Linked DNA regions of Drosophila melanogaster. The protein of the gene in region 4 interacts with the protein of the main gene of each other region in a pairwise test. Each region holds a gene or a part of one and is shown on either strand. Other genes may lie near its edges.

Region 1 (3,864 bases), on a different chromosome or scaffold from region 4:
ATATTAGTAGACTTCCTTTAATTAATTTACCGTCCCTAGCTAACCGTAGAACTATGCTTGGAACAGTCTTTATTTGTAAGCTTATTCGTGGGGATGTTGAGAGTCCCGACTTTATTAGTCGGCTTAACTTTTCGGTTCCAAGTAGATTCACTAGAAACTATATACCCCTTATCTTAAATCATTGTAGATCTAACTATGAGTTGCATGACCCTTACAGAGTTTTATGTTCTGACTATAATAGACTTAACTCTCTGCCGCTCTTAAAGCAATCGATTTTAACTTTTTTATTACATAATTAGATCCTACTAACAGTAATATTTAATATAGTTATTTTACATTATATTCATTTCCTCGTTCCTGTTCTCTTTTTTATATCGCGTCTATATCTTCTCGCGAATCGAGCCGTACGATACACGGCAGCGCCCCTCGGTCGGTTGGGCGGGAGGTGTGGACGTAGGACCCGTGCGAACAAAAAAAAAAAAAGAATCGAATTCTTTTAGCCTTCTCAAACGGTTCTTTCTTCTACATGCGATTTGTGCCCAGTTTTCCTGTGTGGGTTTGCAAGTGTGTTAGCAGTGCGGATTTCCGCGAAAAAGTCCTTGGGCAGCTGGAACACTTAAACGGTTTTCTTTGTGCGTTACTATGTGCCGGCTTAGATCCTGAAGATTTGCAAGGACCTTCGAGCAATGGCTTATTTTTGGTGTGTGATTTCAAGTGAGTGGACAGAGCCGAACGGTCAGTGAAAGTTTTTGGGCACTTACCACACTTAAGTGCCTTTGAGTGGCCTAGTGTTTTGTGAGCAGATGCTTTTGAGCTTTGAGAGCATCTCGCGTTCCTTGACAGGTGTCGCTTGAGATACGCATGTAGCGCAAAGTCCTTTGAGCAATGGCCACAAGTAAAGAGGCGTTCTTGGTGCACTCGCATGTGCATCCAAAGTTCATGTTCGACTTGAAAGGACTTCGAGCACTGGGAACACTTGAACTGCGTTTCATCAGTGTGCGTGGCCAAATGCTGCTTGAGAATTAAAGAAGTTAGAAAGCACTTTTGGCAGTATGGGCACCTTAACGATCCTCTTCTTTCGTGCATCTGTATGTGGGCCTTGAGGTGGTGCCCAGCTGTAAAGGACCTTGGGCAATGCGAGCACTGGAAGGGTCGTTCTCCTGTGTGGGTTCGCATGTGATTCTGAAGACCAGAGCTATAGCCAAAGGACTTGGGGCAGAGGGAACACGTGAAGGGACGTTCTCCTGTGTGTGAACGCATGTGTACCTTCAGATTTGATTTTACTTGAAAAGATTTAGGGCAGTGAGAACAGCTAAAGCCTGGTTTCTCCTTGGCCTTGATATCACATTCGTTAATATCAGGTTCATTGCCGGAATCGACGTCGTCGGCACCATCCTGGAGATCCCTCTCAGCTGCCTCCACTTCTTCTGAGCATCCGGATCCATCATTTTCACTCTCCTCCTCCCGTACATCCTTGAGGAAGCGGTAAAACTGGTGACTTCTCTCGTACGTTTCTATGATATCGAATGCATTCTGCGCATCCTCCAGACAGGACTTGCATATGGTGTTGGACAGTGGATCGTGCTTCTCAACTTGCCAGCCGGTGCACTTGTATATTATGTACGCAATGGATAGGCCCGGTTCATGAGACTCATCGAAAACACTGGCCATATTTTCGTAACTGACCAGGCAAACTCGGCATATTGACGATTCCATCGATCTGAAATGACACGAACTGTGTGAATATAAAATTGCGAATATACAAAATCGTGCACTTAAACGGTTTCAAAAAAGTATAATGGTTATTCCCAGATCTTTGAGTATTAGCGTTTCTGGAATCTACATCCTGAATGCTAAATACACTGAGATCTCAACTTTCAAACAAACGGACAGAATAGGTACGACTAGATCGTAGTCATGGATGACACATACACTTTATAAGGTCAGTGACAAACGTCATCTTTTAGTTGCATAGCATCAAAAAGAACCCTCTGCACTCTTTCTTATATTTAATAATCAATGAAATTTAATACTTGTGTAGAGCTTTAAACATAAATTGCACTAATTTCCAAATACATCTTGGTTTATTTATGACTTTGCTAACTCGGCACGAATTGACCCACAATGGCAATCCTTACCTTAAACTTACCTTATTTTCGTGTTTGTTCACGGCGAATGCGTATTTAAAATGTGGCAATAAGCACAGGAATTGGCAATCTGTAAAGATGTTGCTATGACAAGGGTTGTACTCCTTCTGAAGTGAATAGGTAAGTCGTAAGGCTTATATACAAACATGTCCCAAGGTCGTTTGGTTCTGTAAAATGGGCAACATAGCATATTTAACAATGTTACCTGGGTCAGGTGTCATCAAAGAAGGGCTTTCCAGCAGCTGCACTCATCTTTTTACGGTGCGTCCCAACTAATCTTACGATTTTCTGTAGATCCAAGCAGGTCAATGCATAATGTGATACATGCAGGTAAAAGTAACTATGGTTAAAGAAAAAATCTTTCCTTGGTCGACCCCAAAGTGCTAAATCATTATTGCTGAACTCTAAAACCATGTGTTTGTAACGAAATATACTTATTGGGGTGGTGGAAAACAGGGGAAAACCATTTACCCAATGACCAATAAAGCTAGCCATACCCTTCTATTCCCAATATACCCCATGGCGGAATCATTCTAGTAGCAAATTATTCAATAAAAAACATACAGTACAAAAAAACGAATAATTCAATTTTAAATACAAGACTAAAACAAAGTAAATGGCATCGATTTCTGGTGTTAATTAAGTACATATGTACATTATTAATAACTTTGTAAATCAAAAGGAGTAAGCGATTATTGCCTTTATAGATAATGTGCTAGAATTATTCCTTAAATTCCTTTTCTTGATGACATTAAAACACTCGAACCCCAAAGTTTTTAAAAACATTTATGTTAAATCAACTACAATAATAAAACTAGAAAGTAACCTATAGTCGAGCAAGCCTTATTTGATGCGATGCCCTTTTTCTATGGAACCATTTCCCTTGTATTACCAACTACTAAAGATAAACGTCGTTGAATTGCTAGTAACATTGTTTATTCCGAGTGAAATGGATGATTTTGAAGACTCCTCATATGAGGATGTTGTGGCACCGCATGCCCGTTAACATGGGCATCTTCTTTGGTCCGGAGATGAACCTTCCCGCCACCTGCAGGAACTCGCTCTGCCCCCGACCGAACAAAGAAGCGTTCTGGGTGAGCTCGACGTTCACGTGGTTCTCGGTCAGGTAGACCTGTCCGTTGATGTGGAAGTGGCTGTTGGTAATGTAGATGTTTTGTGTGGAGGGGGAGTTGACCTTTTCGGCGTGCAATGAGCCGGAGACCGTACCGGTCAGGGAGTCCGATCGCCTCCACACCACCATTGATTCTTCGGAGGACTTGGCCATTGCTACCCGGTTTCCGGATCTGACACTTCCATAGCTACTGGAGCTACTGCTGATATCCAGCTCGTGCAGAAGTTCGCGCATTTCCAGACACTGCAACTGCAGGATACTGAGCTGCTCCTTCAGATTTTCATTGTGGTCCTGCAGGAGATCGAAGGGATTCGAATCGTCCTGCTGGCTTGGCGCCTTCTGCTCAACAACTGGGTCCTGCACTTTGGCAGCAGATTTGGGATGCAGCGCCTTTTTGCTCTTGAAATACCTTTTGGCCTGCAGCTCCGCCAGTTGGAGCAGCTTGGACAGACCAAAGGTCAGGGCAAAGATCACGCCGAAGCTCGTCGCAAACTGGTAGGTGCTGTCGGAGCTGTCGGAGCTACTCTGCTCTGAGGGACTGTGGCACAGCTGCGGCTCAAACGTAATCCCAGGACGCTCTGTACA
Region 2 (5,871 bases), 1.1 Mb from region 4:
TGGTGACACAAATATCGATTTATTAAGTTTGAACTATTTAATTTGTCGCGCCTTTCAGCTTGCAAATAGAAGTATTTACTTTAGACAATCGGATGACGCTTTTGATTTCGCATTTGTTTGCGACTGTGTGTGTGCGACGAGCCTTCTAATTCCGACAAAAAGAAGAAGAGCACCATTCGGTGGCCTAATTTGTTTCACTTCTCCGGAATCAAGCTTTTCCGATGCCTGCTTCTATTAACCTTTATTTAATATGACTCGTGCGTTCGACGATATTTTTGCAGTAGTTATTTTCTTTTCGTGCTTGTGGAGTGCACCTCTTTTATGCCGCGTTTGAAGAAGAAGCACAACGTAGTAGTGTTTGAATGTACTGCGGAATTTAGGGATGGGAATGCGTAGCTCTTGCAATCGATAGCTCGATAAGTCCCCTTTCGCGTTTCGCAGCACTTGGGCGGGATTTTTAAATCTAAGGTGTGACTATTGTGAATCGAGAAAAAATGCACATTTCCACTTTTCCAGTAATTTTCGAGTTGCTCAAAAGATATTAAAAACTTGTTGCATTTGAAAATTAAATGGTCTTTGTTCGTTTAAGTTTACAACTATATCGAGTCTTAATCTCTGAGTTTTCACATAGAAATATAGTTTTTATGCAAGGAATCTCCAATAATCTCTTGAGTAGAATCTACAAGTCCCTAAAAATGAGGTTGCACATTTCGTTGTTTTTTTGGTTGAGGGCAAAAGTGCAGCCGGCAGTTTTGTGGGAGAGTGTAGAGCGCACATGTTTGGCATAAGGACGATCAACAGACTGCAGGAAAACCGAACGAACGTTGGTTTGTCTGTGAAGGAGGCTTTCAATTAGCATGTGAGTCATTAAAATAGTTCTAGCAAACTTACTTGAGAAGCTGTTCAGGTCGCTGGAGTTGCATGCACAATTTAATGCCGCTGTAGAAGTCCAAGTCCGCATTCAGACTCAACTTTGGTTCGTGGGTGATGCTGAAATCCTGCACTAATTTCGCATACGTAAAGCCAACGGCCAAATGACCAAGAACAGCGCTGCCAGTGCTATAAGCCAAAAGTTAATCGTGAGTTAAATAACATTCCAATCAAATGCTTTGGCTTTTTCACTTACTTCTGCTGGATTTCCGTCTGGGCATTTCGATTCCACAGGCTGAATCCCACCTTGCCATTGAGATCCACACTCCTGGCGCCCAGAACTCGCCAGTGGAGCGTCGCCCCGGAGGTCAGGATTATGTAGTGCTCGTTATCCTGGGACAAAGTGGTTGCCTGGTAAGCGGGCGTTGAGTCCGAGGCACTTCCTCCCCACACGTGACCCATTAGCTCGGTCTGACCGCTGAAGAATACTAGGGGTCGCAATTGAGCACCCTGCACACTGATCTCCATGCCCGCGGTGACCGCTTCGTCTTCGCTGAACTCATCATCCGCCGGGATTGCATCATTTCCATCGCCGGAGTCACCATCGCCTACCAGCGAGCCCAAGCCGGCAGTGTAGATGCCCAATTTAAAGCTGCTGGCTTGGGAACGGCCTGCGTGGAGCAGAAATTCCACGGAGCCACGTTTCAGGATTCCCTGATACACTTCCTGGGTACTTAGCAGGGTTTCGTTGAAGGCTGGAGCCTGGGAAAGCTGACGGGTGAGGACTGTCGTAAGACCTGTAAGTATTAAAGTTCATAATTGTTTGAACAGTGTCATTAGGAAATTAGGTACTCACCCTTTTGTCCCAGCACATTGTAGTTGTTTACATGCCTCCGCTTGACAAGCTCCGATTTGAACAAAGCCCTAAATCGCGGGCACTTCTCAGCCAGCATTCTTAGCTTCTGCAGCACGTATGTTTTGATCTCAAACTGGCGATCATTGGAGGCTAGGTAATCCAAGAAGTTGCCCAATTGCTCCTGAGTTGGCCGGAGGGACAGGATAATATCAAGAGCCAGAGTGCGAGCGGAGCTATCAAAGCGACGCTTTCGCTGGTAGAATATGCTCTCGAACTGCAAGCGATGTGAAGAGTTAAAGCTACCTAGGGGAAAGGCTTTCAGAGCCTGTAAGGCAGCCACCGATAAATTGGGAGCCTCGCCAGTTTGAGCGTGCTCCAGCAGAGCTTCAATGGTAGCAGGATCCTGGAGATTTTGCAGAGCCCTTATGTACAAGGTAGGCTCCTTGGAGGTGAGACCTTGCAGTAGATAAGAACGCACTTCCTTCAACAAAGGATCTTCAACATCTAGTCCGCTTTGGCGGGTCAAGGTGGCCACGGTTTGGATAACGCTTTCCCTCAGCTTTAAATGCTTTTTGATAGATTCCTGTTCTAGCAATCCAAACAAGTGCTCAACTATTTTCCTGTCTGGATGGGTGGCGACCGCCAGGGACTGCAGGTATTTCTCTAGCAGATCCAATTGCTCGCTTGTGGTTTCCGACTCCTTGTAAAGGAATCCAAAGGTGGCATTATGAGCATCGAACGTTTGAACAGCACCCAAAAGATCCACCAACTGGGGCAGAACTTCTGCGTGTTCCGTAAGTAGATCTTCAAATTGTTCTTGCCTTGTGATGCGAGCCAGGGGAATTAGTTTTACGTACGCAAGAGCCAGCGAGGATTTGCCCACGTCGGCGGATTGCAATTCCGTCAGAGAGGCCTTTAATTGGTCCTCCAGCTGGAAGAATATATTTTTAGTTCAGCAATCCCCAAATTTGAAATTATTTACATACCGTTTGCTCTTTGATCGCACTGATCATGCCATCTACATCGGACTCTAGCTCAAAAACGCGATACCATTCGAGCAGGCTCTGGATGGCCTTATCTAAGCTGCCTAGTTGCAGTTGCTTGACTTCCTCCGATCCTTGCGAGACGTGTTGCAGAATCAACGAACTCTTCACGAAGCTTCCCACATCCGGTTTGGCAGCTAGATTGAGGCGGTGATTCTCCTGAGACTCTGCATGCAAGAGTGTGCCCTCTGAAGAGAGCTCGTAGAAGACCGTCTCCTGGGCTTGCTGAGTAACTCCAAGAGCTTCTTCTGGGTTATAGTTGACCCTGAGATCCCACAGAGAGCAGTCCCTTTTGGTTTTCTCCACTTTCGTGGATGATTTGACATTATAGGACACACGACACAGGCCAGAAACATCCAGTTCCTCCTCCTGGGAAGCATCCAATCTGAGCTGCAGCAGGGAAGCAATTCCGCGCTCCAAGTTCAACAGGGATTGATCTTTGGATGTATGGGCGATGACCTTGTCAGGCTGTCCCCTAACCAGACTAATATAAAAAGGTCTATCGGGTATCCGGGTAATTGAGCGGGCTTTTCCAGAGGCGTCGACCTTGCTTCCGCTGATAAAAACCTCCAGTAACTGGTCCTCATCTCCACTCCAAACTGAGTTGATCTTGAGATCTGTCTCAAATGTATAGCTCGTCTCCGCGGAGCTTGAATCTCGTCCCAGTTCCTGGAGTATCACTTGATTCTGTAGCTTGAAAATTTGCTGACTGTTCGGAGCTATTAGGGCCGTTTTTCCATCCTCTACAGAAATGTGGCCGAAAAGAAATAGTAGAACACGTCATTAGTCAAACGAATTGTTATAACTTTCACCCAGAAGCAGCGCTACATGCTGATATGTATTTTCGTCGTTTACTAAGCCTGGGTCGAGGTTATCAACAAGTGGCCCTGCACAGTGGGCAGCGATAAGGCAAATAGTGGAAGCAACGTGTACGAGGGAGTGATAATCTGAAGGAGGGATGGGGTGATAGATAGCAAAGGTCGATGTGGATGTGTTTAAATCCGGGGATCTTTGGGAACAAATATGATGATGTTTATCTATGTTTCGGTTTTTAACAATTCAGGGTCGGGTAACTGCACGTTTTTGTCTAACTTTACAGAAACAAAACGAAACACCTGTGCAGGTCACATTTCCTTGACCTTCAATACTGTTACTTGCCCCACTGTAAAAACAGCTGCTTCAATTGGAAAGTGTGTCAGATAAAAGTTCTCTTTCGGCCTTTTGTTTGTGTGCGTAGGCGGAGGTGTGGCACTGTCAATGTTGTTGTTTATCGCCAAACGCTACCTACCACAAAGAGTTCATTCAACTTGATCAAAACCCATTTACCCAACTAATCGCAAATATTGGCATTACTTACCCAAAAGTCCCAAAAAGAGGGCCAGCAGTAGCAGGGTTCGCAGGCACTTCTTATTTTTGTTCTCCATTTTCCCAAGGTCTTTGTTCGATTCTGTACTTATATTAAACTGAGCAGAGGTAAATTAAACTTAATTCATTGATAATACCGAGCCGAGCCGGCAGGCGACGGAATTAAAAGCGGAATGAAAACAGAACGGAGCTGAGGAGCGAGATTCTGACTTGTGGTGACTTTAAGCAGCTGAGAGTCGCTGAGCTGGGCTGTGGTGAGATTGAACAGCTGGCGAGCAAGAGGGCGCCACTGTTACGGAGAGTGCCAGAATGTATGTAAATTATTCGAGCTTCTACAAACTTTTTTATTTTATTTAAATGAGTATACATGTTATTATAACCTCCAAAAATATTCATACTATATTCATGTAACAGGCACAAGGAAGCGTTTCCGCGCATATTAAGTATATACATTCTTGATCAGGATCAATAGTCGAGTCGATCTGGCCATGTCCGTCTGTCTGTCCGTCCGTTTGAACGTTGAGAAGCCAGGAACTTTAAAAGTTAAAAAGTTGAGATTAGAAACAAAGATTCTAGGGACATACAGGCAGCGCAGTTTGTTGATCCATGTCCCACGCACACTCTAACGCCCACAACGTTTCACGTTTTTGAACCGTTTTTCGGTATTTTTTCATAATGGTATTAGTCTTATAAATGTCTATCGATTTGCAAAAAACTTTTTGCCACGCCCACTCTAACGCCCTAAAGTCGCCAAACCTTGCACGTCCACACTTTAGAACAATTTTTTTTATTTATTTTATTACCCAATATCTACCGATATCCCAGAAAAATTATGAAACTTCCGCGTTTGCATTCACACTAGCTGAGTAACGGTTACCTGATAGTCGGGGAACATAGACTATAGCATTATCTCTTGTTTTTAATCTGATGTAGCTTAAGTATGACTGTAAATGTCTAAAGTAAGGCTGAGTTAATAAACGCTTAAAACAAATGTATGTATGTTCATCTTTGGATATACATATTTGCTTTTGGGGAACAACTACGGATATGGTTATCTTTCCACGGGGTTCTATTTTTTATATTTTTAACTAAGGATTGGCGACTGGACCGTTGTTCAATCACTATAGCACTGAAAAAGTTGGCAGCCTCAAAACTTCAAACTTTTGGCAGGTCTCCCTTTTTAAGTCACTGATATATAATTCTTTATTCAGTCTACATCAATTTCAATTGTGATTTTTCGGTAAATATTGTTACGATAAAAATGGGAACAGCAAGCGCGTTACCTTTGAAACAGCCACCTTCCCACGACCACCAGCCGCGTCTGAACGAGGTGACCCAAAAGTTTCTCGCCGATTTGGTCGAGGAGAGCCAGTGATTGTCCGCGGAGTTTCCACTTTGCGCACTGCTAATTGCCGAGGGTAAAATCAATTCGGCCCTTTACAGGGTATTTTAATGGTATTAATCCCACATTGCAGCTGTGGACCGTGTCTATGGCACTGGACGTATTCCCGGCAAGGAGTTATACGCAGACGTGTACAAGCAGAAGCCGATAAAGATTACCCAAAAGGTCTTCGTGCCCGTTAATCAGTATCCCAAGGTGGTTTTTTATACAATTAGCTATCCACTCCGACCGCAAAATGAATCCTTACACTTGCGCAGTTCAACTTCACTGGCAAGATCCTGGGGACCAAGGGGAATGCTCTCTTGCGCTATAAATTCCCACAACAAATATTAATC
Region 3 (7,985 bases), on a different chromosome or scaffold from region 4:
ACAGCGGACTGTTGGCCATCAGGTTGACTCCCTGCGACATGCCTGGTTGGGAATTGGGATTAGTTTATTGCATACTGTAATCCCTGGCAGGTGTACTCACTCGGCAGCGGTGCTCGGTGCATGGGTGCTCCTCCGTTGTTCTTAGGCTTCCGTTTGCGCTTCTGGATGCCCTCCTTCTTCATCGACAGCGGTCGGTTCATGTTGTGCAGCTTGTAGTACAGTCCGCAGGCATTGCACACCGGATTGCCCTCGTTGTTGCGACGCCACAGGGTCGTCGAGTTGGTCTGACAGTTGGCGCAGGTGACCCCGTTGCGCCGGTTGTTGGGGGCGGCGGCGGCCTTGGGCTTCGCCTGCCTCTGGGTTATACGGGGCGCCATCCGCATAAAGGCCGGGCAATTGGGACAGAAGTACTCGCTACCCTTCCGCAAGAACGGCCCATGGCAGTTCTCGCACTTTAGCTCGTGGTTGGGCGACGATGTGGACGAGGCGGTCACCAGACTTCCATCGTACTGCCCTATGCTGCTGGCGGGCGGCCAGTGGGAGGTGCTCATATTGCCGCTCCCGTATTCATCAATAACCTGCGGATGGAAGTTGCTCTGTGCAGCATGCGGGAGAACAGTTAGTATGTACCGCCTCAAGAACCAGTAACTTAAATTATACTTACAAATTGAACACTCTGGTACTCCGGCGGGGCGGGAGATGCCCATAAAGGCTCGATGCCGTTGCCGCCCTCAAAAGATATCGTCTGAAAAGTAGCCGGTCCAGTCTGGCGCAGCAGTCCAGTCTGATTTAGGCCAGACTCGGACTTGGCCAAGAATTGACCGGTGCCCGGAACACTGTAAATAGTGTTTCCCTGCTGAAGCGTTGCCGCATAGCTATTGCTACTGAAGCTGGAGCTGGGCGGGAAGGGGGCATATGCGTTGCCTAGGTCGGCGTAGGTCTTGGACTCGTTGGCATGCACACTGCCATCCACCACGGGTACATCGTAGTACATATTCGAGGCGGATGTCTCCGGTCCGGCGGTGGTGAAGCGTACATCCTCCGTAACGAAGCGCACGGTTCCACCATGCGAACTGGTGGCAATGTGAACCGTCTGGGCCGCCGCCGATGCTGCAGCTGCCGCCTGGTGTTGGTGGTGTTGCTGCTGATGCTGCTGCTGCTGGTGCTGCTGCTGCTGTTGGTGGTGATGCTGCAGTGCCTCCGCCTCGCTGCTGATCACTATGGTCTCGCCGTAGCTAGCTCCGTTGGGTGTGGGACATTGCTGTTGCTGCTGATGCTGGTGTTGCTGCAGTTGCTGCTGCTGTTGTTGCGACTCCCCCGTCGCCTCTCCCTTCTCGAGTGTTTCGATTTTGATCGCGGCCACATCGTCACCGTTGCAGATAATAGGATAGGCGAAGATGGTGCCCGGCGGAGCTCCGGCAGCAGCTCCCACCTGTTCCGTCACCTCTGCGTTGCGTGGCGCCATCTGCACGTAGTGAGTGGCTCCGGGAGATTGGTGTGCACTGCGCTGGTACTCGATGTGGCTATCCGAAGCAGATCCTGAGCTCGCGTTGCTGGCGTTTGTGCTCGGTTCTCCTTCACGAGCTTCGTTTAATTCACTGAAATGTTGTTAATAACACTGTTAAATAACAATGGTAAATTGTAACTATCGATTGCCATTTGCATTAGATGATTGTGTTTAAAAATGAAATTTGTGAATGCTTATGTTCTTAGGAAAAGAAGGTCTCCAGAGGTTACTTACAGTGTGCCGGCTGTGGTGAGAATACGGCGCTGGTTGCGTGGCACCACCACGTACTGCTCCTCCGGTTCGCTGACGCCCGCTTGGCCCGTCTGCACCACCACGCCCACCGATGTTGCGGCTTGCTGTTGGTGTTGTTGCTGCTGCTCCTGCTGCTCATCCAGATTGTTGGCCGTCTGCTGGGCCAACTGATCGGCGCCGTTGCTGGACTCGAGTTTGATTTTGTCCAGCAGTTGAAGCTGCTGCTTGGTTAGAGCCTGATGCTGTTGCTGTTGCAATTGTTGCTGTTGCTGTTGCTGTTGCTGTTGCTGCTGCTGCTGCTGCGTTGTCTGCTGTTCCATCTGCAATGAGCAAGCGACAAGTGTTGAATGCCATGTTTCGCCCGGCTCGTCTCAAAAGTGTGGCTCCAGTTCCGGCCGTTGCAGTGCGAACTGCCCGCCTCGGTTTCCGCCACAAAAGTCAACAAGACGCAAGCCCAACCAAGACCGCTGAGACGGACTTCAAAGACACCGCCCGCGCTCGACTCACAGCTCAATTTGTCGCCTACAACCGTAAAGTACCAGAAACTGAGCCGAACGGAGACGGGCTTGGAGGCGACCCCTCTCCTTTCTACCACTCAGTTGCTCAGTGTCAACATTGTCGAACACATTTTTCACTTTTATTCCATTTCATTTCCACCAGCAGAAGTATTTGCTCACAGAACCCTAAACTCAGAGCGGTGCCTTGGTTTCGTTTTCATTTTTCTTGTGTATTCGTGGTTTTTTTTTTTTTTTTTTTTGGTTTAGTTTGGCTTTTGGCGGAAATTAAACTTGGCCATAAAATCGCTTTGCTTTCCCCGCCATACGTCAGTCGCTTTTGGGTTTATGACCTCATTCCGTTGGGGGTGGCACTTCCACTTCCACTCCAAAGCCCCATACCCATCCCCATCCCCATTCCCATCCTCGAGCTTGTGTCAACACATTCGATCGTCACTGTCACCTGATTCACGATGCGGCCAGGTTGAAATTTACCGCCAGTCCGCTCATGACAAGTGCCATATAGCTCAGAGGCTTTCAGGTGGTTTCCACCTTTACCATGGCTATAAATATACCAAAAAATGTGTGTGCTTATGTGTAACCATCACCACCGTCAATTGAGGAAATCCACAGCAACACTAAAGGAAAATTTTTGTGGCCATTGAAATATATTGCAAAGATAATTGCTTTTAACTGAGATATAACCATATACTTGTACAGGTGTTTTTTTTTTCCGAAAATAATCACCACGCTGAATTGATTTAATACATTCCATAAAAATCCCCACTCTCCCTTTATATGAAAAAACTAATACTTTATCTTCCATTTAATGAAAATTGATTCACTTTCGCAGAACTTTAGGTTGACGTGCCACAAATGATTGATACATTTTTTGCGTGGACACAAGCCAAGTTCAATGATGATTCAGTTGGTGACAAGCCGTAAAAATGAAAAATCTAACGCTTACCAAGGTACAAAGTTTAATTACTTATGTGGAAGGCATATAAATGGGGGACGAAAGAGTTCCATGGAAACTGATTGCATTCCGCCGGCGGTGATGACCGTGCCAAGTTTTCAACGTCTTGGCCAAAGTTCAAAGAATTCCCTGGATGGAAAGGGTGCGAGATAATGTGGTGCAAACGTCACTTCAGACAATCGTCTGCCCGAAATGCAGATAAACCCGACTTTGAGTGTGTGTATATAGTAGTAGTACGATAGGTAGGCCCCCATGCACGTGCCATGTACCGCGAAAAAGTTAAGATACTACGGCCGAACGATACGGACAATATCTTATCCGGGCGCTATCAATGTACATAATCAGCTGCTGCTGCTGCTGCTGGGACTGAGAGGTCATGGTTGGTATCCCCCAACTGCCCGCACCCACTCTCAGTTGCGGCTACGTCATCAATAGGGACAGATATATCCAAGAATTACAAAAGTTGTGCAAGCGATGTTTGTCACCCGAGAATGGCAATGGCATGCGCTATTTGCTCGGCTTAGTCAAGAATCGTTGCGAGGGTGTGGAGTCCGCTGAACTTATGAATGAAATCTGCCCAGTCACACCCACAACCATACACACACACACACACACGTACATTTCGTACTTTATCTATATAAACAAAAGATATTGACTATATAATCGCACCTCGTTTCGCTTTCGTTGAGCTTGGGTTCGTGGTTGAGCAAATTTCAAAGGCAGCTCTGACCAAACATTTTAAGGCATTTAGAACTGAATAGAACTATAAAACTTGAATATAATGCAGTTGTGATGAATGCTATTTTTGTTAAAATTCTAAATTTCTCGAGGAAATTCTTTGCCAGTTTTACTTTTTATTTTAGACTTATAAAAAAATATGAACAATTTCTTGGGTAAGACTGCTTAAAGGCTAAAGATGTGAGAGCACTTTCAAAATATCTATATAATTAACAAAAGAATGGGAAGTAAATAAATGTACCCATTTTTGGATATACATTTATACCCTTTATATCTGCCCTCGTTAGAAGATCCTTCGATTAATTAAACTTCACTGCAGTTGGCTAATGAAAGTGAGATAAGACTCTCGACTGCCAGCTGCATTTACAGCTCTATTAAAGGGCCATCAATCGCAACCTTCGCCCTCTCTCCTATCAGCCATCATCCACTGTCAACTGGCGACGCGTGTCTAATAAAAGTATCTGCAACTGGAACTGCAACTATCGATGCCGCCATTGAGCAACTGTTAAGGGACTGTTCTTCCATTGGTCGAAAGGACACTTCCGGCAGGATAAAAAGTACCCCCAGATGAGCCAAGGGTTGGCATTCATTCACAAAACCAACCCCAAGCCCATGAAGGATACGCTAGAGACAGGGATAAGGAGCAGGACCAAAGCGAGGTGATAAGATTGACATAAATTTCACATTATCCGTGGCCAGCAAAAAATGGGTAAAAACAGTCCCTTTTCATGAATGAAGAGGAGCGAGCAGTTGAAAGTCGGCTGCGTGTTTCAAATTTTATTTTTGTCAAAGGTATTTTGACGCCACCTTCGATCGCAGCTGAATTTGGACCTCATAAAGATTAGCCATCTTTCCACATTTAACTTGCTTTCTTGTTGCCCCGTTTTCGTACCCATTCTCGTTTTCTTAATGGTTTCGGTTCGTTTCGGTTCGGTTTTTCTTCCAAGAGCAGACACCAAAATAAGTGTCGCAGTTTGCCGCTGCATCCCAGATGACTCATTCATTATAAATCAATTTGTCTTATCTTATTTCCCTGGCGCTAGAACTGAAAAAAATCCATATCGCTGCCGTTTGCGGGCTAAAATCATTTTCTGGCTCGGTACACCGAAGGATGTAAAATCTATATGGCTATTCGAGCTGTAAATACCTTTGAAAGCTCTTTATACTCCGTTAATTAATAAATTAATATTTATTCGTGCCTTGCGACTGATCTATAAACTTGAACTATCTGCTTTTAATGACCCTATATGGCCTGTCTATTTAGCTTAATGAACTTGTGTGAGAAAACGTTAAAAACTTTTATGATCTTTCAACAAAGTAGAAATGATAGATAGGCTTATAGAGATCTCGTAAATGAGCATCAAAAAGGTATTTAAATGTTTTTAATAGAGTTCACGTATAGTTGCTTTAAGCGGTCAGGTTGATATTCTCCATTCCGATATGGATTTTAAACGGAATTGGTTTTGAAAAGAAAATACCGACTTGGCAAACTTAATATATAATACCCAAAAATTACGCTGACTATTTTTGAATAATTATAAGTTTATTTTACCCACCTTCAGCTGCATGTTTACACTCGGTGAGATAGTTTTGCAGACCATCAAATTGAAGTTACGCCGCTTCTTTGCGTTTCTTCCAGCGTTTTATCTAAGATTGGTTTTTATCACTTGATTTCAGTTCTGTTGTGTTTTCAAAAATTTATCACAAGCACGGCTTGTCCAGGTGTTTGGTTCACTTCTCCTATCAATCTGGGCGCCCGAAAAAGTGCCGCGCAAAGTGAGCAAGTGGGGAAAATTGGCGAAAATTGACGAAAATTGGTAACTTGGGAAAGTAGGAACTTTGGAGCTTTGGGGGCGATCTAATGCTGTCACCCGTGGGGCGATTGTGGTTGTGGCCCGCGCGCAACCTTTGCCAGTTAGCAGTGATACGAAGTGCTATTTTTTCGAGACCAACTGGGCTCTGGTGGTGGCACTGGTCTCCGGTCTATGGGCTCGATACACTAAACACTGAGCACTCTGAGCACCAAGCACCTCACTTGCGATGACAACAACGACGGCGACGCAATGCGGTGCCTGCGGCGCGTTTGCCGCCCAATTAGCTACCCACACCGATGAAGATCCAGCGCCTCTGCGGTTGGGCGGCCTCACACCTGTGTGGGTGCGTGGTCCTGTCGGTGTGGCAGCGTTATGATTTATTCTGTACCGCCTCGCCTGGTATTGGTTATCTTATCGACACACATGCGATAAGATACGCAACGAGTGTTGGTGCCACGGTTGCGATAAGTATCCGTGAGATACAAATTGCGCCTGCGCGCTCGGCCGATTTTCCAACACACCTATGTTACACCAATGTTCCGAGGTTTCCGAAGAGTGGCGTCAAGAGGCCCACCAGCCGGCACAGTTCAGCCAGCACCACATTTGATTCCATTTCCACCCTTCAGCGCTCCTCACCCTCGCCCCCTGCTATTTGTCAATTGTGCAATTTAGTCTAGCGCATTTTCTAATTGCACTCATAAAACACTTTTCTGGCAAACTAATAAACTCGAGCAACGTTAGTCAACGTCAACAGAATATCATCGGATCGGGCTTGGGCCTGGAAAGTGGGACTGGGCATGGGCATGGGCACGGAAACTTTATATGACCCCACGAACAGTCGCCCGAATGTGGGCCGCTTTGACAGCTCGACTGCTCGGTTGTTGCGCTCCACTTCCACTTCTCCAGTTCTTCTAGTTCTCCACACTTCACAATCCACTCTCGAGTGTTGTAACTAATAAACACCGCCGGAGGAGGCGGAGGTGGAGGGCAGGAGCACACGTGGTCGAGGATCAGGTGCGGCGCATATATTGCAAAACCCCTGAATTGTCACCAGCCAGGAAAAGATTGAGTTTGAAGTGGTTGGGTGATTGGAGTGCTTGGTCAGAAATCTGATATATTTTTCAACCTGTCAATTACAGATACTTTGTAAGCAGAGATGTATGTGTAGATAAATATTGTAAACATATCTTTACTATATATAGGGATGTAGTAGCTAAATAGTACATTTTATAATAAAATGTATATGAAAACCATGACTTAAATTCTAAAAAATTCAATCTAGGCTTATATGCTTAATGCTAAGCCCCTATGGCAATCCGTACCAACTCCTTGCTTTCTTTTCTTCGAAGAGCTGCAATCTGTAAGTTAGCCACATATCTTGGCCACCCAGCCAAGTTGGCCCAGCGAATCATAAATTGTTTATAGTTAAAGTCATAAAGCAAGCAGATATATGACGGCCATTAACATGCACAATCCCCTCGGAGTTGCTTATAATGCCACAATTACGGGCAACTTTCCGCTGCTCCCATGAATGGAAATCGAGTTGAGGCGATAATTTTAATTGTTGCAACGCATGCGGTGCATAAATCATGGGCAAATCTTAAGAGCAAAACCGGCAGACAAAAAGTATCTAATAGTAGCTACTGCTGCGTGTCGCGAAATATCTGTGCGGTGATTAATCACTCAAAAAGTTGACGGCTATGCCAGTTTCGATCGTTACAAATGGCGCTACACGAAATCAACATTACAGGAGATTAATGCTGAGGAGGAGGACTCCAAACTGGATACCCGGCCACAGGACTGACTCATCGAGGTGGCTCTCTTGCCACGGCAGAGCCGGGCAATTAATACCCTAATTGATGGCACCGCCGCGCCTAGCTTTAGGTGCTTTGCCGGCGAATTTACGACCCTAAGACGGAAGACTTAGGGGCGGCGAAACAGACAGAGTCTTAAGATTGCTGACCATGGCATATCGTGTACACCCGGAATCGTACACCCTTCAACTTGTCCACCTCCATGGAGTTTCAAGTGCTATGTCCGTGAAAGACCATAGAAGCGAACCAAAACCTTAAGAAACCATAGCCTAAAAGTTATCTAGCCTCAAGTGTTCTCGGCCAGTTGACAGTATCGCCGATCTTTGTCTGGAATGACGCTATGGAATTTAATTTTTATATATTCTTTATTGCGCTCTTGTTTTGGTTATA
Region 4 (7,710 bases):
TTTAATATGTGTATGAATATATCATTTTAAAATTGTTTCCGTATACATGCGTTGCTGTGGCTTTATATTGATGTAGATATCGGTAATCTTTAGACTTATGGAAGGAAAATGCCATTGGCTAGTATTTACATTTATTCAATGCATTTCATCGTTTGGGCTACATGTGCTTCGCTAAGAGTTGCACGCGACCATTAATTGGTTCTATCATTAAGGTTATTGTTTAAGTGTAAGGATTTACGTATACTGCGTTGCGTTTGTTTTGTTATTGCTTAGAATAACCAATTTAGCTGGTTAGGTTTCTTTCTAGATTTAAACAGTTTTGATTTTTGGCACTCTTTTCCTTTTCATTCATGTGACAAGGAGTTGCGGATAAATAAATAAGTAATGGCTGGCTTGTTCCCTGAGTGCACTCAAATCTGAATTCAAATGCACTCGAAAACGAACCACATTTTTCCCACTCAGTAGGAGTACTCACTCTCTTGCTCTCTACACACCCACTGTGCTATGCCTGTCTCTCTCGCCACCATCCAATTCCACTTTGACGAACTCGTGTTGTCGCCTTTCGTCACTCCGCCACTATGGCCGTCCCTGTCCGACTCGCTTTGATGGACAGCCGTTCGTCAAAGTGGTGGTAATTGAATTTCCAGCTTGCTAGTCCTCTCTCGCTCGCGCTTTAGACTGCGACTGTCCGATTGGGAAACCATAAAGAGCAGACCATCATCGCCGTGACGTCACTGACGAAGGGGAACAAACAACAACACGAGAGAGCCTTGTGGTCTGGGGAAATTTCCTGCTAAATTCAGCAAAAGTAGGGGAAATCTTGTTGGGTGTACAGCGGCAAAGAGAGAGACAGTGAGAACTTTGAAATTTGGAGAGAGAGCGGACGAAAGAGCGAGAGCTGTGCAGATCAGAATAATGATCACAAATCAATGCAGTTGTTTAGAAATTTGCAAACGGATTGCTAAAGTTTGTTTAACAGGCATCGACGAAAGTATCCTCGTTTTTTTTTTAATTTAAACCATCAACTAGGATGGTTATTCAGTTTAAAGTATGTTGGGCTTTTGATTGAATGATTTCATACGACCGTTAAACAGTCGGCTTCGTAAAATGAACAATTTAAATGTAGCCTCAGTCCAAAGGATAAATTCTGAATATTAAATACAGCTTACGTGTCTGCAATCTGTGACCCAATTTGTTAATTCGCTTTAAGTCGTCCCTAAGCACTTTTGCTAATAGATTCTTCTACTGTTTTCATGGATGACATCTCTTCTCTACAAGTTCTCCGTTCTTCAGCAGTTTAGGCGTTTTTAGAGGATAGCTGTTTGGCCAGCTCCGTGTATTTGAGGAACTTTGACTGCGGACTCTCGTCATAGGGGCTAATGGTTGGCGAGGGAGGGGGCTGCTGAGATCCTGTCGCCGGACTCCTGGAAGCTGATCTCCTTGGGGAGGCCAATGGCATCGACCTGGGGCTCTGAACGGCGGGGGACTTGAGCCTGGGCGAGTCCTCGCCTGCGTCTTTCACAAAGTGCACCTTGGAGAGATGGTGGCGGTAGGCGCCCTTCGATGCAAAAGGGGTATCACAGTAGGAGCACTTAATGATGGACGAATCGCCGGCGGAGCCACCATTACTGGCACTCAGAACTGCCTCGTTGCAGGCCCAGCTGAAGGCCACCAGGTCGTTACCGTTCGCTGAGGGAAGTGTTGCTGATGCTGTGGAGGATCCGGCGGAGGACGCGCTGCGCAGGCCAGTGCTTGGGGGATCCGTGGTCTCGCACAGTTTCTGCAGCGCAGCTAGAGGATGGGCCTTTGGCTTCTGGGCGGAGACGCTACTGCAGCTGTTGTTGTTGTTAAAGCAATGCCCTGGAAGAATGATTAGTTCAGTTTTCATTATTCATTATTATTTATTTTATTTCATTTGTATAGAAATATAATTGTTAATATATAATTAATAACTAATAATATTGGCATGCGTAGATTACAAGGTTGTGAGCCAATCGATTTTCTGGCAATTGACTAATACCTCGTCACTAGTTAAGCCTTACGCTTTAAAACAATTTTTTTATATTGAGTTTTTTCTCTTACCCGAGTTGTTATTGCCGCTGTTCTCCACTCCACTGAGCTGATCGAACATGGAGTTCAACGCCAGTAGACTGCCATTATCTGGTGGAGATCTTTCGGTCTGCGGCGCAGGTGATTTGCTTACAGACCGAGGACTCTCCCGACATGCTTCCATGCTGAACTCCTTTTTCACTTGGATCTGCTGCCGAGGACTGCAGCCCTCCCGATCGCAACCCACCAAGGGTTCCGCCTCTAGTGGTTCAGCTTTGATGGTTGGCGGTGGGGGAGGAGGCGGAGCAGGAGTATCTGGACTTTTGTGGGGGGTGGCCTGCTGTCTGTCTGGGGTGTAGGATGATTCCACCCTACTGGCTGAGCTCGATTCGCTGGCACTGCGGTCTCTCGAGGCGAAGGAGGATCGGAGCAGGTGCATCGCCTGGGCATCCATAAGGGGCTTGGTGTAGTCACTGCTGTCCTCAATTCCCAAACGCTTTAGGATGCTGGCTCCAAGCGGAGTTCCAGCTTCGGAATAGCCTCCATGTGTCATGGTTCTGCTGGTTCTCGATTCGAAGCTCTTCTCTATAAGTTGCTCCAGGGCATTAAGGACTGATGGTGGCTTTTCAGCGCCAAGTCCTAGACTGGGACTTGGCAGGCGATCTACTCCCGCGTTAGATCGACGGGGAGGGATTGGAATACTCTCGCCCAGGCACTTTCGTATGTGCTCGACAAACAACGCAGTTTCAATCTTACTGCCACATTTTTCACAGGTAATTTTGGTGGCAGCAGCAAAGTCCCTCAAGGGCTTTAGCGCTGAGTCCAGACTTGAATTCGAGCCGGAACGCTCGAGCTCAAGAAGCTTCCTAACCGGCAGGGATTTCTTGCGTTTCTCGTTGCGATTTTGCCTTCCTCTTTTCGGATTGCCAGTGCCGGCAGCTGGAGGAGATGCTGACGGAGCCGGTGACTCCTTGTAGTGCGATTTTTGGGCCATATGGGTGCTTAACTCCTTTAGGCTACCGAAGGCCTGATCACAAACTTTACACGTGAGCACGGCACTCACTGATGGAGCTGTGCAACTCGGCGAAGAGGGAGCAGCGGTGGACGTAGACGGAACTCCAGTGTTGGTCGGCCTCTCCCGTTCATCGCCCGACTTCCAGGAAATGATCTGCTCCTGCGAGATGATATTCGTGTAGTGCTGCGTCTCCTGCATGTGGCTGGTCATCTCGGCCAGAGACCGGAAGCTTTGTCCACACCACATGCACTTAAGTATCTGGCGGGTCTGCTCCGCACCCTTTCCGAGCCAAACATCCTGACCCCTCACCAATTTCCTGGGAAGGGGCATAGTTTCCTTAATTAGCATATTTAACTCTGATTTCGAGGAGTTTGAAGAGCTGGAGGTGGAGCTACTGCTGCTGGAACAGGCCGAGTTGGAGGCTGAAGTGGCCAACCTTGTGGGAGGAGGAGCAGACGGAGTGCCGACTCCTCCGGTTGGCAACGGCGAGGGTATCTGCACACCGCAATGCTGAGTCTCCTTCATGTGGGCAGTTAAGTTAGCCAGAGTTGAAAAGCTCTGCTTGCACCACACACACTTAAACACATCCTTTGCAGTATCAGCACCTTTGTTCAGCCAATGAGACTGCCACGCGCTGTGCCGGCCACCGGAGTTGGAACTAGCTCCCGCAGGCACTCCTGCTCCTACAGATGATGTGGCGCCTAAGCTTCGGGCAGCTGTTGGGGATGTTTCCAATCGGCTCATCTCAGTCATCTTCTCCAACGCTTTGCTGGCTTCACTGGGTGCTAACTTAGAATATCCCAGTCCGCCCGTCTTTGCCGCTACAGCTGCCAAGTATGGGTTGATGGGGGGCATCCAGCTGCCAGGTGGAAGAGGTGACTTGTAATCTGCGGATATACTTCTTGGAATCTTCCTGGCAGGCGGAGAAACCGATTCTTGCCTTTTCCCTGTGCTTACAGATAGATCTAAAGGACCATTATCGCACTGGACATCATGATCGGGCTCCTGCTCCTGCTCCTGTTCCTGGTCCTGTTCCTGATCTTCTTCCTGATCGTCGTCTCCGTGGCTCTTAGGCCGCTTTCTGCTAAAATCGAGGGCCGGCGACTCCACCTCCCCCTCCACCACTGCCTGCTGCGTTGCATGTTGGACCAGTGAAGCTGCTGCCGCCAATGGATTTGTTAGCAGAAGGTGATTTTGTTGGGCAGCGGCTAGGTAAGCGGCCATGGCGGCGGATTGGGGCGGTAGCAGAGCAACTGCAGCTGCAGGAGGAAGGGTCGCCGTCAGGGGAAGTCCCACCGAGTTTGGGGAGATGGTTGCTTCAGTAGGCGTGAGAGTGGGCGTTGCAGCTGGGGTCAGACGGTCGTTCGCCGAACAATGCGACTCATTCGATGGACATCGGACATCGGCCATTCCAGCACCCGCTCCAGCTGAGGTGTTGGAATCGCGAGACTGACATCGCGGACTAGTTAACTCACTAAAATGAAAATTCGAAGGTGATGGAAGTTAGAATTGAGTCACAATTACATGCGAAAAAAAGGTATATATATATATTCTATTTAAAATTTCGTACTTTAAGCTCTTTAAATATCGGACATTAAAACAGCAACAGTGCTTCTGTCAATTTGGTATCACTAGGAAAGCAAGCATTCCATTGTGGAGCAGAATAATTATATTGTAATGACTAATTGATTATTTGTTCATACGAAGAGCCACATTAATCGCGCTGAGAAAATAAAAATTTTAATACCTAGGAAAGATCTTTTCTAAGCGGCATTTTTTCGTTTATCAACGCAAACCGTGCCAAATGGAGTAAACTTCACACTAATCAATCGGCACAGCAAGAAGTTGCATTCACAACAAACTTTTCAGCAGGGTGAACAAACTCGATTCAAAATGCCGCCTGCGTTGTTTTAGTTATATCTTTTATTTATGCCCAATTAACTTTATGCAGCTTTCGACTAAATAATCGAAATAAAGCACTGCATCTCCAAAGGGAACTGCCCAACCTCCTCGGGAAACCCCGTATCGAATCGCTATTGGCGTGGAACAGCAAATCGGAGGAAGCGCTCACCTTGCACTCAGCGCCTGGCGATAGATTTCCAGCATGACGGCCTCGTGCAGCATCATTTTGTAGAAAACTGGGTATCCGGGCTCGCTCTCCAAAGGTTTGATTACTGGACTGCCTGGCGATACTTCCGACTTTCGTCCGCCTGCTCATCGATGGTGGCGGATTCGTTTCACTGCGGCCAAGTGCGTACGGAGCTCTGATTTTATTTTCGTTCACTGAATAAATTCCTCGGCGAGCATACGTGTGTTTGTGTGACAGTTTCGTGTTGAACTTCTATCAAAAACACACACGTCATATAAATCAAATGTCACAATGGTTCGTGTGTCGAAGAGGGGCGGGCGAGGACTGGGAAGCGGAGGACCACGACGATTCGATGACGAACGGGTGTATGTGAGCGTGCGTTTGTGGGTTGCAGACGTATTTTATTGCTGTTGCGGTCAAACTGCCGCCAATTTCACTTCCTTTAGCTTCCTCTTCTCACTTTGCACACACAACAGCTGTGCGTATGCCGTGGGTGCTCGTCAGGGCTATTAATTTGGTGATTTATTGATGGCTTTCCACGATAATTTCGTTTATTTATTCGCCTACACTTGGATTTTCGAGGTCTGTTAATTCCGTGAACACTATTTTCTGCACTCGCAATTTAGTCGTAGGTCGAGCGATGTACCGTTACTGCTGCACCACCCACCGTTCAAAGGCGACATGATTTCGAACTTGCCGCTGAGAAAGCCGTTAGATGAGTCTCCAGCTCGGCCGAGGTCGAAACTAAAACATTCGACTGAAATATCTTTTTGACAATCGGAACGTTGAGAGCTGACAGTGGGCAGCGAGAGCGACAGCAGAAGAGAGAACAACTGAGTTGAGCGAGAGAAAGAGATAGTTTCCCCATTAAAATGATATATGAAAGAGAGGATATGAGATGAGGCGAGAGCACCGTTCGCTCTCAAGCTCTAACCGACGCATGCGCACCTTTGTCGAGCACCTTTGTTTTGATTTATAGCGGCGGCTCTCGCTTACGCTTACCTCTCCTGCACTGAGAGCAGAGGGATTGCAGAGAGAGCGAGTGAGAGACAGTGGTGTGTGACAGGTGTTTGTGTGTGGGGAGGGGCCGGTCTGACCCGTGTGTGAGCGCTAGGTCCCCCCGCATTTGTGCATGTATTGCAGCTGGTCAAATGCTGACTGCTCTGCCGGCGTTGACGTCGCTGCCGCTTAAATCAAGGTTATTTATTGAAATTGAAAATGAAGCAATGCGTCAGAGAGAAAGAGAGAAAGAGAGAGAGGAGGTTTGTTAAAGTTAAAGAGTTTTCATTTGCAGCACTTGAATCGCGTTCATTTTTGCGCAGTTTTTTCCTACAACGGTTTGCTTGCCTCTGCCTTTGTATGGCCATCTACTGCTGGCATAATCACTTGTGGAACAATTGTTGCATGCACATCGCTAAAGGATACTTGGAAGCTCAGGGGAGGTTTGAGGTCTCTGAAATCATCTTGTGGTCTGCACCTTTGTCCCGCCTTTTAAGGTGCACCCGCTTTTCATACACTGTTATTATTTTCCAATACTTGTGCGCAGACGGCCATTACGCATCTTTATTAGTTTTGCGGTTCGTCTTCGGCGTTTCACACTCTTTAAAGGTAGGAGCGAGAAAGAAAGGCATATCCGCTTACAGAATTTATTTATATATATTTAAAATTCTTATTTCATTGGTGTTAGAATATTAATTATTTAAAACTAAAGCAAGAGAGAATGCTATAGTCGAGTTCCCCAACTATCAGATACCCATTACTCAGCCAATGGAAAAGCGAGATTCAATAATTCTACTGGGGAATAAAATAAGAAAAAACTTAAAAATTGTTCAAAAGTGTGGGCGGTAAAGTTATGGTTTGTTTGGTATACCTATAGATATTGGCAAGACAAACAATAAAACGAAGAAAAATCAAGCTATTTTTTAAAAGTGTGATCGTGACAGGTTCCCACGGTTTGTGGGCATGGCAACGTAGGTCAAACTTGCCCTGCGTCTGTCTCTAGAATCTGTATGCTTAATCTCAACCTTCTAGCTTTTATACTTCCTAAGATCTTTGGGCGGTCAGATGGACAGACAGAGCCAACAAACCGCCCAAAACTGCAACGCCCACTTTCGTCCGCACTATTGGGTATCTATGAGTCGGCGTTCTCTCTGGCTAATTTTTTAGATAATTATTAATAAATGGTAACATACAGAAATTACTTTACTTTAAATAACCGCATGACGGTCAGGGACTTATAAAAGCATACATAATTTATGGACCACGAGACAATTTTATTTTCAACAAAAATTATTAACGAAAATGAAGTTATACATTGGGCCTACTATTTTTGAATTATTATTAAATATATATATCAAATATAATATACACATAAATAGCGTAAAAAAGCTAAAAACAAATGTTTTTATACTTTAGTAAGATTTCTTATTGTTCGGGTTTCTAGCCATGAATTAAAAACTCCTTAAATTGAGAAAAAAACTTTGTATTTTTAGAAACCTGTAACTTAGAAATATGTACGTCGTGTAAATATCGTGTACATCGATTTTATAATTGTTTT

What was found.
Region 1: the proteins of tio (region 4) and Neu2 interact in a two-hybrid assay, tested with the Drosophila melanogaster proteins (one large-scale study listed by BioGRID).
Region 2: the proteins of tio (region 4) and Mtp interact in a two-hybrid assay, tested with the Drosophila melanogaster proteins (one large-scale study listed by BioGRID).
Region 3: the proteins of tio (region 4) and GATAe interact in a two-hybrid assay, tested with the Drosophila melanogaster proteins (one large-scale study listed by BioGRID).

Annotation. Positions count from the first base shown.
Region 1 is NT_037436.4:21,488,331-21,492,194, forward strand, and holds Neu2 (Neuroectoderm-expressed 2), read right to left. Parts: upstream 2,257-3,864; 5' UTR 2,150-2,256; intron 1,721-2,149; 5' UTR 1,672-1,720; coding exon 523-1,671; 3' UTR 520-522; downstream 1-519. Other genes in the region: CG7202 (uncharacterized protein), read right to left, coding at 3,118-3,857.
Region 2 is NT_033779.5:20,918,560-20,924,430, forward strand, and holds Mtp (microsomal triacylglycerol transfer protein), read right to left. Parts: upstream 4,318-5,871; 5' UTR 4,194-4,317; coding exon 4,127-4,193; intron 3,513-4,126; coding exon 2,713-3,512; intron 2,658-2,712; coding exon 1,727-2,657; intron 1,668-1,726; coding exon 1,127-1,667; intron 1,060-1,126; coding exon 892-1,059; intron 834-891; coding exon 680-833; 3' UTR 535-679; downstream 1-534. UniProt on the Drosophila melanogaster protein: Catalyzes the transport of phospholipids such as phosphatidylethanolamine (1,2-diacyl-sn-glycero-3-phosphoethanolamine) and phosphatidylcholine (1,2-diacyl-sn-glycero-3-phosphocholine) between membranes.
Region 3 is NT_033777.3:16,010,322-16,018,306, reverse strand, and holds the start of GATAe (GATAe), read right to left. Parts: upstream 6,034-7,985; 5' UTR 5,569-6,033; coding exon 5,524-5,568; intron 2,080-5,523; coding exon 1,742-2,079; intron 1,599-1,741; coding exon 665-1,598; intron 597-664; coding exon 101-596; intron 43-100; coding exon 1-42.
Region 4 is NT_033779.5:22,017,516-22,025,225, reverse strand, and holds the start of tio (tiptop), read right to left. Parts: upstream 6,019-7,710; 5' UTR 5,192-6,018; coding exon 5,136-5,191; exon of another isoform or gene 4,972-5,135; intron 4,539-4,971; coding exon 2,083-4,538; intron 1,861-2,082; coding exon 1,298-1,860; 3' UTR 1-1,297. UniProt on the Drosophila melanogaster protein: Tiptop (tio) and teashirt (tsh) have, on the whole, common activities. Tio and tsh repress each other's expression and tsh has a crucial role for trunk patterning that is in part masked by ectopic expression of tiptop.